Linked DNA regions of Oreochromis niloticus. The protein of the gene in region 2 interacts with the protein of the main gene of each other region in a pairwise test. Links are inferred from orthologs where the notes say so. Each region holds a gene or a part of one and is shown on either strand. Other genes may lie near its edges. The genes, in order: khk and lhx9.

Region 1 (7,996 bases), on a different chromosome or scaffold from region 2:
CTCATCTGATTGGTGGAGCCATTGCTCTGCAGTGGCTCATGTGCCCAGTTGTCATTAGACCAGATTTAGGCTGACATTTAGGTTTTCATGCTTCCTGATGGCAGACTCACTAAACTCATCAGTGTATTTGTTTCATCCACCTCCAGCGGCCAATGGGTGGAGCTTAGAGTCTGAGAGGGCATGGTGCAATCCAATCAGTAAAGCCTCACCTGAACCACTGATGGGTTTGTTCAGGTGATCAGAAAGAGAATCAAAAGAAACAGGAAAGATTCTGCAGAATTTCATTTAAAAATATATTTTTGACAAAGGGAAGATTGATTATTTCACTGCGGTGCTGATTAGCCAGGCATGATGTGAGAAATAACACATTGATCAAACAGGCTGGAAGAAAACCTCGATCATTGTAATAATCATTATTAATTAATATCTAACGTGAGCTGTGAAAATCGCAGCTCTTCGACGGCCTTACGCCTTACGTATCGGAGAGAACGACGGTTCGAGTTCCAGTGGATGGACAAACCACACAACAAGCACATGGAGTTTGACCTTCGACCTGCAAAACCACCGCTGACACGTCGATGGCCCGCTGCGAGAAGTCAGCCATGATGAAACTGACAGAAAGACAGACAGGAAGGATCATGTCCCCTCTAAAATAAAACTCTGACAGAAACCCGAACTCTGACTGGCAGAACGGGAGGGGCGGAGCTCCTCTACGATGACACTGAAACAGATGCCGTTAGTGACACAGACACACAAACACACCTGTTCATGTGCAGGATGGTGCGACTTCCTGTGCTTATGTTGCTGATGACCATGGAGGCTGGAAGGAAGCACTGAGGGTGCTCAGACAGCAGAGATACATCGATGCAGTACTTCTGAAAATCTTCCAAAATAAAACTACAGACAGGTAACTGTTTACACTGACTTGGCTTCCTGAAACACAGATCCTCCACATGGCAGACAGAATAATTAAAGTCAGAGGTGGTAACAAGTATGTTAGTAATGCACTTTCTGAGGGGATGCTAAATAAAGACGATAAATCTCCTGTTTTTAGTGCTCAGGTGAAACTGATGGTGAACAAAGAGCTGGCTTTTTTTTTTTTACCCTTTGAAGAATGCTTTGTAAATGTGAGCACCAGAGGAGTTTCCCCCTTTGTGCTTCACCACAGCTTCAAACATCAAGAACTATCTCCACACCTTTAACCTGCTTCATTTACTTTATTGTAGGATTTTAAAATTCATATCTCGCATGCATTTGCTAAAATTCTGTAACAAGTTTGAATCTCAGGTTAAGGTAAGAGGTCAAGTTTCCCCATGAATGTAATAAGAAGGGAAGTCACTTTCAAACTGATGCCACTGGTGCAGTTATTAAACATCGTGAACGCTTTCCAGTCTCACCGACTTGATATGGAGGTTAAAGTATGAGGTGAAGTTTAAAAAATTCAAAGTTGATTCCTTCTTATTGCATTGACAAAATTCATTAAATGTCATCATACAAACACCTAATTAAAGACTGGTGGCTGCCAGTATCCTTTTTATTTATACTGCTCAAAAATTAAAGAAATACTTTTTAATCAGAATATAGTCAGTTAAACATCTGGGATATTTATCTGCTCAGTTAAGTAGCAGAAAGTCTTTTATTTCAGTAGGTTGATAATGTTCATTTGTGTGTGTGTGTGTGTGTAGAATCTCCAAAATACCACAGTTTCAGTAAAAAACTGTGGTATTAACATTCTGGATTCTGCCCTCAAACATTGATTACTGTGTATTTCTTGGATTTCTGAACAAATGGATTTATTGATGAGCATTTGAAAAGGACTCACTTGGCCACAGGACCAGCTGACAGGGAGCCCATGAAGGCGCAGGGCGCTCCGAGCAGCGACAACACTGTGCATGAGTTTGAAGCATTTCCTCCCCGCTGCCAACGCTGCGACAGACATCTGCAGGTACAAAGTGATGACATCATCCATCAGAGGGGCAATCATTAATTTTCAATACTGATGGCAGGAGTGATGAAAGGCTTCATGGAGTCAAACATTACACACAGAAACAAAAAGAAGCTGCTAACGTTAAAGTCAAATGAGTGTGTTTCCCATCCCCAATGAGAAACAAGCACCAGTGCATCACGGACAAAGTCATTGTGGCGGAGCAGTGGGTTCAGTGTCAGGGGAGCCTCATGCACACAGCTGTTCCCCATAGCCTAATCATGTCACCCCTATGAGTAGGATCTCAGAGAAGTGAGGTGTGTGCTATACAGGAGAAGTGAGGAGCACTGAGCTGGAGAGAGTGGGGCTGAAAAGCCTGCCACTCAGTATTCTGTATGCTGTTTTACACATATAAAAACATTCATGTGCTGGAGAAACTGTCAGCCTGGGATCCTTGCTACAGTTATCGACCACACTTAAAAGCACAGGGTTGGGGGACAGTCGGGTCGTAGTCAGGTTAGTGCCAGGGCCTAGGCCAGGAAAACTTAGATTATAGAAGATCAATCAGCTTGGCCTCGTTCACACGAGTGAAGAGAGCAGGAGAACCAGTGATGCTAATGTCACCATGTTAGGAGAGAGGCAAAAGATGAATTCTCTTCTTCAGATTAGTGACACCTCCTGTTTGTGGGGTTAGGGCTTGTTGCAGCACCAAAGAGATACATTAATATAATTTACATCATGTTCTGGATTTTTCATTTTTAAAATAAAAAACTAAACGGAGTATCAAAAGTCGATAGTGTTACACTGAAATCTGTTACGTAATGAAAGCGTGACCTTTGCCCACACATTGACCTAAAAAAACTGCCAACCCTGACCCCTAAACATCACCAAAAACCCTTACCCGTAAACCCCTAATTCTGACTGTATACAATGTCACAGTCAATCACTTTTTAGAGATCCACTTCTCTAAACAGCTCGTTCAACATAAGCTGTACCAGCCTGGAGAGTTAGCCTGCATATTAACCTGCTCTCAGCTTTAGCCTGCAGGCTAACATGCTGTCAGAACTAGCCTGGATGCTAACCTGCTGTCAGCTTTAGCCTGCAGGCTGACCTGCTGTCACAGTTAGCCTGGATGCTAACCTGCTGTCAGTATCTTCTTCAGGGTATTTGTTCACCACGTTGATGATGTCGAGACACACCAGCCCCACGCACAGAATCTTCTTCTGCTGTTCCATGCTGGTCCACACAAACTCTCTGTGATCCGAGGGTGTTAGAAAGGCACACTTAGGTGGACTTTGAAACACTTCCTCCCATGATTCCCTCAGAGTGAAGTAGTGATGCGCGAATCATGAACGAATCGTTCAATACTCGAGAATCACTTTACTGACTCGTGAATCATGATTCACAAGCGCAACTGACTCACTGACTCATCCCTGTTGCTGTTAGCAAACTAATTTCACTAGTAGAAATATATCTAGCTTATAATTCAAATTGTGAAGAAAAACACAACATCCAGTATCTTAACAAAAACATTTCTGCTCTGAACTGGAAGAAAAAACCCTGAGTAGAAGCTCACATCAAGACAATAGCTCCTCGGTTTACAGTAGCAACGCTCTGCTAACATGCTAACAGCACATTTGAGCTACTCACCCCCGCCATTCCTGCGCTGAATCATAGTGTAAGCAAATCACTCAGGACTCACTAACCCCCTCCCTCCTGTGCTGAATCATAGAGCGCGCGAATCACTCATGACTCGCTCACCCCCTCCCTCCTGTGCTGAATCATAGAGCGAGCGAATCACTCATGACTCGCTAACCCCCTCCCTCCTGTGCTGAATCATAGAGCGAACGAATCACTCACTCACTCACTCACCCCCTCCCTCCTGGCTCGCAGCTACTTCTTCTTCTTCTTCGTTGGCAACCAATGTTAAGGCGCACTACCGCCCCCTGGCTCACAGCTCAGTGGACATTTAGATGAGAAAATATATATTTGACACATGTAAGGAAAATACTAATAAAATAAAAATAAACAAAAGAAATGTTCCCTTTAGAAATTCTTTTGCTCTTTTTTGCTATATAAAATAGGGCAGCACGGTGGCACGGTGGTTAGCACTGTTGCCGCACAGCAAGAAGGTCCTGAGTTCAATTCCAACATCAGGCCGGGGTCTTTCTGTGTGGAGTTTGCATGTTCTCCCCATGTTTGCGTGGGTTCTCTCTGGGTACTCCGGCTTCCTCCCACCGTCCAAAGACATGCAACTTGTGGGGATAGGTTAATTGGATAAACCAAATTGCCACTAGGTGTGAATGTGCGAGCGAATGTGAGTGTGAATGGTTGTCTGTCCTTGTGTGTTGGCCCTGCGACAGACTGGCGACCTGTCCAGGGTGTACCCCGCCTCTCGCCCCATGACAGCTGGGATAGGCTCCAGCGCCCCCCGTGACCCTGAAAAGGAGAAGCGGAAGCGAATGGATGGATGGAAAATAGTTGTTTTCTTTAAGAATCACTCATCTTAGCAGTAGGATTTACATTAAAAGAGAAACAAATTAAGTTTGAGTGAAAATGTACATTTTTTGCACTCTCTGGTCAACTGACTCAGTGACTCAAATGACTCAAAAAACCCGATTCACTTTGGTGAGTGACTCATTAAAACTCGATTCAGTAAAAAGAATCAAATTTACCATCACTAGAGTGAAGTCACAGCAACAAACTGCATCACTTCTTCTTTATATTGTTTATTGGTGGTTGGCAAACAGCACTACCGCCACCAACTGGTGTGGAGTGTGGACCGAATTTAAAAGCACTTAATGGAATGAATTCAGTCATTTTCCATTCGTTCTGCAGTTTGTTCCAAGCCGAGGGTGCTAAATGAACAAAAGGTCTTTTACCAAATTCAGTTCGGGCAAATGGAACAGAAAGCAACAAGTAACCATGTGGACGAAGAGAATACTGACCAGCATGTTTCATTGCAAGCAGGGAACATATATAAGAAGGTAGCAACCCAAGTATTGCCTTATATATAAAACTGTATAGATGAGAGTTCCTCCGACTTTCCAAAGCAGGCCATCCTACCTGAGAGTATAACTCACAGTGATGAGTCTGAGATTTACGGTTAGTGATGAACCTCATTCGTATCCAGTGTGAGGTTGAAAAGTGTTGTGAGAGGCTCTGCCACAAAATCAGCTGACAGTGTCAAGAAGAAATGATCTACTAAGTCGGGTCCTGATGATTTTCTATGATCTAACACTTTACAGACTTCATGCACAGAGAAAGGAACAATGTGTTAATAGACCTCTCTCCATTGAATCATACCTGTTATTAATCTCTGTCTCTCTTCCACAGCATGTCTTTATCCTGTTTTCCTTCTCTCACTCCAACCAATCACAGCAGATGGCCCCGCCCCTCCCTGAGCTTGGTTCTGCCAGAGGTTTCTTCCTGTTAAAAGGGAGATTTTCCTTCCCACTGTCGCCAAAGTGCTTGCTCATAGGGGGTCATATGATTGTTGGGTTTTTCTCTGTATGTATTATTGTAGGGTCTACTGTCCAATATAATCCAGTGTATGAATGTGTGTGTGAATGGGTGGATGACTGAACGTGTAAAGCGGGGTCCTTAGGGACTAAGTAAAGCGCTATACAAATACAGGCCATTTACTATTTGCCTTGAGACGACTGTTCTTGTGATTTGGCGCTATATAAATAAAATTGAATTCAATTGAATTAAAAAAGGCAGTTCATGCTCAAAAACCCTCCAATGTGACTGAATTACAACAATTCTGCAAAGATGAGTGGGCCAAAATTCCTCCACAGCTGTAAAGACTGTTAATACAAATGCTTGATTGCAGTTGTTGCTGCTAAGGGTGGTCCAACCAGTTATTAGGTTCAGGGGGCAATCAATTTATTACACAAGGCCATGAGGGTTTGGAATTGTCACCCCCCCCCCCCTGTTCCTGTAGAAATTAGTCATACTTTTTTTTGTTTCTATTGTTTTTTTCATTGCTGAGGTGGTGTGGCTGGATGTTTGTCAGAATGCAGCTATTAATGGGGTATACTATGTTAACAGTAATGTCTGAATGTCAAACCCAGAGTGATTTATGACTTTTACCAACATGGTGCAGTAACAGTCTCCATGAACTCAGTGAAAGCTGACAGTAAATTATGTTCATGGTACTTTGGCTATAAATTAGGTAGTACAGGTAGTACACAGAAAGTGTGCTTCGGATGAAGCACATGAAGATTATGCTATGAAAAAGGAATGTATCTAAAACGTTTTAATTAAATTGCTAAGCAGATAAGCTACTCAAAAACTCCACTGTGTTTGAGCAGGAACAGGAAGTTCAGGGAACAGTCTGTCTATTCTCTCCATCTGTCAGCTGCTGCTGGCTCTTCCTCCCCCTCTTCCTCACACACTCCTGAGTTTGTCCTGGTGGATCATCAGGGGTGCAAAGCCTCACAGATGATGTGCAGCAGTGGGTCCCTCAGTCTGTCCTCACTCTGGACACTTGCAGTTGTCACACATGGAAATCAAATGTGTGATAAGTTGCAGGATTCAAACACAAGTGTAACTTATAAATACATGTTCATACTTTTATTCTGCAATCAGAGAGAAAGAAACAGAGAGAGAGTGCAGGACAGACAGACAGGTGACAGTCTCAGGTGTATACACTGCTACAAAACAGCACAAGAGAAGGAGGATTTAGTGTTTGTGTTATTACGAGTGCTAAACAAGAAGAGTTCCAGATGGTCCAGTGGACACATGTGTGACTCCTGTGATTAAAGCATCTTTCTTTCAGCTTAACGAGTGAACCGTCAGCTCGTTCAAACACACGTTAAAGTCCGTTTGGCTCAACACCACCGAACAGAGGCAGCAATATAACATAGCTAACATTAACAGTGCAGTGAATCCTGCTTGTGCCGTCATATTCAGGACTGCAAACCGAGCAGCATCACTGACTTTCAGCTTGTTGTGTTTGTGGATATATGACTGACTTTAATTATCCATAAAATCATCACATTCTCTGTAAGATTAAGGTTGACTATTGAACGGCTTTAAAACCAAGTAAACGCTGAAAGTACAAACATCGCTAATGTCACATAACTTTGCCGACATGTGGCCAACAGTAATGTTTTAATGTTCTCCGTTATTCAACATTTTCACATAAATAAGTGACATATTATTCAGTACTTACTTTTAACAGTTTACTCTTCGGCCGCTCCACTTCTGCCGTCTGCGGAAAAATTATCCACACCGACTGCTGCGCTATGAATTGTGGGATATGTTGGGCCATGAAGTCTACACCACCACGTCCTTAAAATTCAGGGACATGAAGGATGCATTTGAGGGCCGCATTTCGAGCAGCCTTTGAATTGGGACAGCCTTCGGCGCGTCGCTGTGACGTAATCGGCCTTAAAATGCGGCCTTTAAGGCTGCAGACCCTGAATTGGGATACAGCCTGTGAGAATAGTTTGCAGCCTGGTCTTACTAGTCATTTCTGCACAGACGCCACAAAATGCACAGATGCGTGCACGCACAAAACGAAGCGCACGGCCAATTTAGGGGAGCTTGGAAGCAGTGCTCATCGTGCAAACAGCGCATTATTATTGTAACTGGTGCAAAAGGTAGGATATGTCCTGTCTGCAAAATCCATCCATCTAGAGGTTCGTGCTATAAAATGTAAATTACATCTTTGTTCAGTTTGTTGTTGAGTTTGTTCAGGTCAGTTCAGTTTCCCAGTGGCACAGGAACAGAACAGGAGGGAGAGACAGAAAAAGATCATCGTCTGTACAGTAAGATAGAGGATGATCTTTTTTTAAATTTAGGTGCATCTTTGAAGTCTGTGAGAATAGTTTGCAGCCTTGTCTTACTAGTCATTTCTGCACAAACGCCATGAAATGCACAGACGCACGCACGCACAACACGAAGCGCACGGTCAATTTAGGGGAGGCTTTTGCTGAGAAAGAGCAGCGTTCCAAAAAGCGGAAGCAGTGCTTATCGTGCAAACAACACATTATTATCGTAACTGCTGCAAATTTTAGATATATATAAGATATGTCCTGTCTGCAAAATCTATCCATCTTGTGG
Region 2 (8,325 bases):
TTACCACCCAAATGACTGCACGTTTCCGGGCACGTTAACGTTTTTCGGTCTTGCGGTAACGGCGATTAAAGCGACTTTTTAGCCATTATTTCACACACGGCTCGGCCTGGCTCTTACCGACTCTCTTCCGTTCAGCTGCATGCCCTTCGCCAGACGAGACTCCGTTTTCGACCTTCTCTCCATCTCCTCCATGATTCCTTGGATGTGATCCCCGGAGATCCCGTGGAAAAGCATGGCTCCAGGTCCTGGACGCAACGTGCAACTGCCTGCCTCTGTCTTGCAGCCCACAACTTCCATATAATGCACTGCAGCGCTGCGCCCCGCTCTCTCAGCGCATCCAAATGGGCTCTGAGGCTCTAAAAAGAGGCACAAGGAAGAAGAAGGAAAAAAAATAGACACAACCCCAGAGATTCAGATCACCTCCTCAGCAGAAGCAACGGGAAGAAAAAGGACAAAACGAAGAAACTACAGCATGAGTGGGGCAGGAGGAGCTCTCCTTCTTCCTGTGAATGTCTCTCCTCCAGGAAAAAAACCAAAAAAAAACCAAAAAACATATAGTCCAAATGATGCGACAGGCCGGTGTGGAAGTGGTGGTGGTGGAGTTTGAGGAGGGAGGAGGGGAGGGAGTGTGAACACTGGCCAAAATAATGACACAAAGTTTTTTTGTGTGTGTTGTTGTTGTTGTTTCTTTTTGGTGATCTCTCTCTCTCTCTCTCCCAGTTTCCCAGTCCGGGGTTCCTCGGTGCTTGGAGGTCAGGTTGGGACTGCCTGGATTTGAGAACCGTGTCCTATTTGTGAAGAGAGCAGAGCCGGCCCAGTCTGAATAATTTGGTAGGAGGAGTTCCTCTCTCTCTCCCTCTCTCCCTCCCTCCCTCTCCCCATCTCTCTCTCTCTCCCTGCATCGCCGTTGATTTCTATTCAGTAACAAAGAGCTGTCACTCTCCCCTCAAAAACTCCTGATTCTGGACCACTGCTTTATGGTATTGACATTTTCATTACGTTTGTTCTGCCATTTAAAGGCGAGACGACGGGAACGTAAGCTGCACAAACTCGGTGCAAATATATTTGATTTATTTATGAAATCATATGCATCCATGCAGGCGTCTGAGGCCCTCTGTGGTTTCACCGGGAGTCCTCACAAGTGGGAATAAACACGTGTCTCACGGGGTGTCGTTTAAAGACACTTTCTAATAAAACTTCATCATCAGACTGGAAGAGTTTTTGGGAAGTGTGAGCTGGACCGGACCGAGTGTTTGGTTTGGTCCCGAAAACACACACACAAACACGCGCGCGCGCGCGCGCGCGCAACAGTGTGTTTGTGTTTGTGGCATAAATGTTCTGTCTGGGGCGGGGCAGTGATCAGTGATAGGCTAGAGGGCGGGGACAGATTCAATTGAACATTTTTGAAACAATGTGATTTGTTTTTGGCCCAAATGAATGAGATTTGGTTAAAAACTGAATTAATTAAATAATAAAATGTATCCCAGGTAACAACAGCCTCCTTACTCAAATAACCCGAACAGACTCCAGCTCGTTGCACATGCTTACATGTATAGAAATCTCTCTCTCCCTCTTTTAAACGCTCTTTTGAAACAGTCATTATCCACTGTCAAGGATTCATTAACGCGGCCTTTCGTCTTTTCTCTGTCTGCTGAATTAGGCCAAAACCTTGTTTACCTGCTGGAGAGTTGATCTGACAGCAGCCGAGAACTGTGTAGTCTCCGCATTTCATTTGTTTGTGTTTTTCTCTTTCTTTCTGCTTTTCTTCTTACGGGCTTTATAAGAAGCAACGTGGAAGTAAAGGCGAGATGAGAGAGAGACCTCCAGTTGGTGGTCGCTACAGGGAAACCTCAACCAGCTATTGCATATTTTTAGAAATTCATGCTTTTTAAAATTCCATCCCTATCTCCAAAGATGGTCTGCTTTACGCAGGGCGCAGTGGGGGCTGCAATAACGATCTGTGTCAGTTTTAAAAGGGTGTGGAAAGCTTTGTTGCCCAAATAATAAAGGCAGGAAATAAAAGGCGTTCAGCTTCCAGTATGCAGTGCGGACTTGGTGACAACAAAACTATATATATTTTTTTTTTAATTAATCCGTTCATTAATTGGAGATTTGGGCCGCGTGACCTTCCAGTTGGATCCACGCCAGCGAGCTGTGGTCTTTGTAAGCTCGATGACGGCATTATTTTTCATAAACAACAGACAAACATCAGTCCCGTTAATAGATTTAGCAAAGCTCGGGGAGGTTTGCAGGTGTGGATGCTTCATCTCAAGACGTGTTACATTATCACGTGAACCTCCCACCACCCATCCACCTCACCGCACGCGCGCACACACACACGCGAGCACCAAACACGCAAGCGAAGTTGTGTTGGCTTTAATTGGAGGCCCCTTGATAGCAGCGCTATAAGACGAGGCTTGAACCCTCCTGGACGGGCTGGAAGTGCAGCTGTTGTCAGACCCATAACGCTCATTTGCGCTCTGCAGTGTCCCAGCACCAGCCGCAGAGCGGTGGGGGAAAAGGGGCACGCAAAAAGGACACGAGGATTTCATTTCACCTGGACAAAGACGCCCCGAGTGGAACGATAAGCTCAGCTCTGTGTGCGATTTTTAATCTTAACTGCAGTTTTCCTGCCATTCTGCGTCTTCTCTGCGAATTAGGCGCTGGCAATAGGGCGTGTTTCCAATATGAAGAAGTTTTTTAAAGAAAATATTATAATTATTATTATTTGTTTTTTTATGAAAGCGTTAATGTCGATAAATAACGCTGTCGTGGCCCGTTGCCTCCAGCAGTGACATTTAATATGACTGAAGAGCGCTTACCAATGTGTCAGTGAACACCAAGGGGATGGGGGGGGGGGGGAATCTTTGGAGCTGCTGTTTGTTTTATTTTGTTTTTTTCTGTATTTAAAACATATTCATGAAGCTTTTTATTTGTCTGATTGTCTTTTTATTTCACTTCGGATTTTAGCCAAACTATATATATATGTATATATGTATATATTTTTTTACAAAACGAAAAAAATGTCACTTTTATTTTGAAATATCTTTTTAAAAAATCTATTACACCTTCAGTATTTTTAAAGTGTCTCTAAAAAAACCTGTAGGAAATAAAACTGGGTGATTTTGTGTGTCAGCTTTAGTCAGTGTGGGTGATTTATCCAAGTTAAAGATTAATTTATTATTATTATTATTTAAGGAACTGAATTTATTTTAAGGCTTTGGAAAAACAATAAAGCACAAAAATCCACAGTGTCAGCATTTCTGTTTGACATGGCGAGAGTCGGCTCAGTGGGCCACTGACGTTTGTCAAATACATAATGAAAATTAAAATAATAATAATACTAATATCACAATCACGCACACAGCGACATTTTGCCTGTATTTTCATAAAACCCATACATTTGTGTTTCGCACGATTTTACTGGCGTGCGAACTCCAATCTATTATTTATGCGCATAATCGAGACTGATTTAGGCAAACAGAAAAATAATAATAAGAAAAAAATATATAAGTTTTTTAAAATCACACACCGATCGAGTGCGTTTGTAGTCCAAGTCTGCGCTTTTATCCCAGACAAAATCACCCATGTCACTGTCTTTATCACGCATCAGATCTGTCGCGCATTGCTTCACACGCTCCACGCTTCTCCTTTCGTTTCCCCCCAAAGCCCTCTCTGTGTTACTAGTATTATTATTATTATTAGCGTTGCCCTCAAGAATAAATAGCTATGGAAAAAAGTCTTACCTGCGGCTGTGCAGTGTGTGAGTGAGATCCCTGTGCAGCGTGCAGACTGAGCCGCTCCGGACTGTGCGCAGTGTGCAGAGGAGACAGAGGAGAGGCTGCCGGTAGATGGGGGGCTGTTCCTCGTTTCTGAGCTTACAGTTCTAGTTCGGGCGTCAATTAAAACACAAGACATTTAAATATTCCTCTCTCGTAGGCAGACGGCCCTCAACACACCGCAGCACACAGAAAACGGGGAGCCATGAGCCAATGGCCTACTCAGCATGTAGGTTATAATCTGTGATGTGCTTCTGAATTAAAGTGGTGAAGTCGGTGGTCGCCAAATGAAAAAAAACACACAACAACTATCACTGTATAAAATAAAATGTAGGGACTTTTCAGCAATTAAATATGTATTTGTCCTTTAAACACTCCAACTTAGCCTGTGCTGTAAATGAATCCAGCTCCTGCTTGGTTATTATTATTATTCGTTTTACGCACCAAATATGAATAAACCAGCGTTTGGCAACCAGAAATGAAAGCTGGCACATCTGGGTCTAAACAGTTATAATCCCAAAATGCATCATGGCTTCTTTACCTTTTATTTTTAAAAATATATACACACACCGATCGTATTATAGGAGACTGAAGTGAGCTGAGCACGGTTACAGTCTCACTGGCTGGAGAGGTTTGTGTGAATAAATAATTAGGGTGTAAAGTCAAACTGGATCAATCAAATCTGACAAAGATAGGGAGCGCAGCAACACACGCCTGGAGGGGAAAAAATGTTTTGGTATTGAATAACCAAATACCAAATCGAAGCCATTTTCAAAATAAAAGTGCTCATTAATTGACGAATTGTGCGCATTTTAATCATGTGGGTACTGAACCAAAACCGCGGAGGGCTGCCTATTAGAAAGGTCGCAGTTTTCTTGTTTCCCCCTCTCTGATTTCCTTGCTTTCATATTTGCGTGACGACAAACGAATAATAAAAATGTGCGACCTCAGGAGGGTTTAGACCCATTAATACAAGACGACACGTGACTCCTACCACACTTTTTAGTCTAATTTTATTGATGCATTTCATTAAAAACACAAATAAGACAAAAAAAAAAAAAGCATATCAAGATAAGCCCATTCTGTGGTTCATATTTGCATGCTATAAAGTGTGGCACACTGCACGCCCGGATCCTTTTCTGAGGAACTGAGCTGACAAACTTCATAAAAATTCAAAGCAATAATAAGTCTGTTCAGCCAGGAAGCAGACTTACACACTTGCCTTGTGTGGCCTTGTGTTGCAACATCTAATAAAAAAAAGAAACGCTGATGAAAAATTCACTAATAATTAATAATGTCAAGATTTTAGTAAATATTAATAGTGTTTATGTTTTGAGGATGGTTTGGTTGTGTCTCTCTCTTAATGAGACCGTATTTTCTCAATTTAAGAGGTAAATACAAGGAGCGTGAGGTTTCTCTTCCCCCACTCACGTCCTTATATTCTCCACCTGAAATGCAAACTGACAATCGTCCATTAAATGGTAACACCGGTAAGAGAATGCAAAACCGTTTAAAGAGCACTTAGCTCCTCCTGAAGTGCACGTTCATCTTTAACACGAGAAAGGGAGGTCATCCAGAAAAACAAGAGGATAACCCAAACCTGCTCGTGCTCCCCACGGAGCGCCGAGGCACGGGTGGACTCGTTTCAATTGACTACGAGTGAATAGAATATTGTGTGAACGAGCACTGGGGCTGGAGCAAAGGGTGACAATTAATTACACCTCTGTACCGCTTGCATAAATGATCACGTGCCACACTGCTAACAGTCATTTTGCTTTGCTCCTTCAGCCTGGGTTGACATCACAGTGTATCTCATCAATAATGCAACAACACTGAGATCTATTTCACAGCGTACCACAACACGGAACGCACACACAGCGTGCTAGGAGCACGATACCCAGACAGGCGCTGCAGCGCGCTTGGTTAAATCGGCGAAACGGCGGCTACAGCGCCAAGCAGGTCGCCTGGCTGTCCCCCGCCCACCCCCGCACCTCCCCGAGTGCCTGGCTCCTCTCTGCTGTAGGGCATGGTGGTTAGATTACCACACATCCAAAGTTCATCTGGAGTTATCATTTCTGGGTCACCTCAAGTGACACTCAGTCTCACAGAGGGAGCTCTCAGTCACTCCCAAAGCATGGCCAGAAAAGGAGCGTAGGAGAGGTGGTGGAGGCGAGGAGGCGAGGAGTAGGAGAGAAGCAAGGAAGAGGAGGAGGCGGTGGGAAGGCTCTCCCAGGATCCAGTGAGGTGCAGGGAACCACAGGCTAAACACTGACAGAATGAAGGAAAGGGGTGGGAAGGGAAGGGAGAGGGTGAGGCAGAGGAGGAGGAACAGAGGGAGGAGTGAAGCACTGTACAGCTGTATCCCAGTCACATGAGCCTGGGTGGGTGGGTGGGTGGGTGGATGGTGAGACATCCTGGAAATATTTACAAACACACAGTGGACGTGACTTTCTAATTATTGAAGCAGAGGCGATATCAGAAATGCACAAAACGGGGGAAACGCCCCCCCCCCCCCCGGCGGCGTCTCGTAAAGAAGCAAAATGATAAACGGCGATTTTAAGAAAATAACGACGTGCAGGATAATACGAGAATCTCCACGTCTCCTCCTGCTGGTCATTTCTCCCCCGCCTCTCCTGCTTCTACCACTTTCCCTTTTCTCTCTTCCAAGCAACGCTCCCCCCTCCCTCCCTCTCGCCCTCCACCCCTCCTTCGATCTCCTCCCTGCTCTGCTCTGCTGGAGCTCAAATCACAACCCCGGTCCCTGGCAGATGGAGGATAGGAAAGAGAAGCTCTTAACTAGCCAGCCTGAGCCGCTGCTCTCTGCACACCAACTGCTGCCTGCCTCCCCTCCCTGCCTCCAGAACAGCTACCACTACATGCACCCCCCCACCCCCAGCACCTCTGGGGACACGGTATCCTTCTGGGGAATGGTGCGTGTATTAGTCCGTATCTGGACACACTAGAAAGGACATGGAAACATAATAGATGGATGTTATTTATCACTACATAACCTTATGGGGCAGAGCAGCGTTTGCGAGGAGAGGGTTAGTAAATATCGTTTTGCTGTCAAACAAGCGCCGTCTTTCTACTTCAGTGAGCGAGGACAGAGAGTCAGAAGACGGCGTAATGTGAAGCGAGCTGGAGGTTAGACGGCGTGACAGATAAAGAAAGCGGCGACACGTCGGGTCCAAAGCGCAGACGAGAAATCATGAACGACTGCGGCGATGCAAAACCAGGAGGGAAATAAACAGGCCAAAGTGCTCCGTGGGCGCTTAAGTGCCTTTGACTGCCCCCGACTCTCCTTTTATCTGGGCTCATCTGGCGACCACGGCTTGGCCTGGCATGAGCCTGACCACCAGTTGCGGTCTGAGGGAGAAACTGCTCCTCTGTGCTATTTGCAGCCCTGTCTGTCCAAAGGAATCTGGTGCGCTGACTGTCACTCAGTGGCCATGTGTGTTTTTTATCACTAATTCTACCACAGGGATGTGGTTGTCCATATGACCACTGTGGAGGCTGCTGCCCTGAGGCGAGCTGACATTGTCTGTGTAGAACGACCAGACGTTGATGTAGGGGCTGCTCAAATGCTGCTTAACACACACACACACACACACACACACACACACATGCACGCAGGCAGGCAGGCAGGCATACTGAGCGGTGCCTGGCCAATTGCTGAGACTGATGTTCCTTTCAGCCATCATATGGCTGACACTTAAGTTTTTTTCCCCGCCAACCTTGTGTCAGTTCCTGGCTGGTCTGGCCAGCAGTGATGGAGACGCTGTAACCGACTGTGGTCGGGGCCGCTGGCGGCGGGGCTGCTGTGCCCGTTTGAGATGGGGTGCGATGGGGGTGGGGGGCTGCTGCTTGGCCTGTCAACTGGTTGTGACTGGAGCATGTCTGGTCACAGATCCAAACTGGACAGCTCGCTCTTTCTCTGCAGCTAGTGCCATCATCCTGCAGAAAGGCACACGGCGTATAGCTGCCACTCTGCTCCAGTACAGCATATGCTCCAGCTGAGGGTCAGACATGTTCAGTCCAAAACGCCTGAAAGAGACGCCTCACGTGTCTAACTGGCTGCTGGGAGCACATGTGCACTGTGGGTAAAAGAGAAAATGATCGTGGTGCTGCATAACCCAGCTCCAACCCAAATAAAAGGCGGGACTTTCATCAACTTTAGATAAATTAATTCGGTTCAATGATTAAAACACAGAAACTAGTTGAATGCTCTCTCTCACTGTGCAAGTGCACTGCACAGGCTACTCAATCAATCTGCTGATGAATTAAGGATGGATTAGTAAACGGAGTGCAGAGGTGTGCTGTGCTGTTTGTGTCTCAGTCACCAACTGCTAGGCTGGAAGATGATGGAGGGGAAAAAAATTCAAACTGTGCCATCACTGGATCGGGAAGACGTGGAGGGATGAGGCAGACATGAAAGTTGGCCTATTTCATGGTCAGGCTGCGGGACCGCCGAGGCCCTGAATGGCAATGCATCTACTTTAATGTGACAGACGAGTCCCTAGGCAAAACCGGCGGAGCCGCGGCAGGC

What was found.
Region 1: the proteins of lhx9 (region 2) and khk interact in binary tests that used the Homo sapiens proteins (3 or more experiments, as listed by UniProt). The two-hybrid records come from large-scale screens. The link is inferred for Oreochromis niloticus from reciprocal best matches to the Homo sapiens genes LHX9 and KHK.

Annotation. Positions count from the first base shown.
Region 1 is NC_031970.2:188,658-196,653, forward strand, and holds the start of khk (ketohexokinase), read right to left. Parts: upstream 3,252-7,996; 5' UTR 3,160-3,251; coding exon 3,065-3,159; intron 1,940-3,064; coding exon 1,823-1,939; intron 898-1,822; coding exon 763-897; intron 612-762; coding exon of another isoform or gene 477-611; intron 1-476. UniProt on the Homo sapiens protein: Catalyzes the phosphorylation of the ketose sugar fructose to fructose-1-phosphate.
Region 2 is NC_031981.2:1,419,600-1,427,924, reverse strand, and holds the start of lhx9 (LIM/homeobox protein Lhx9), read right to left. Parts: upstream 3,884-8,325; 5' UTR 3,747-3,883; intron 2,813-3,746; exon of another isoform or gene 357-2,812; 5' UTR 298-356; coding exon 118-297; intron 1-117. UniProt on the Homo sapiens protein: Involved in gonadal development.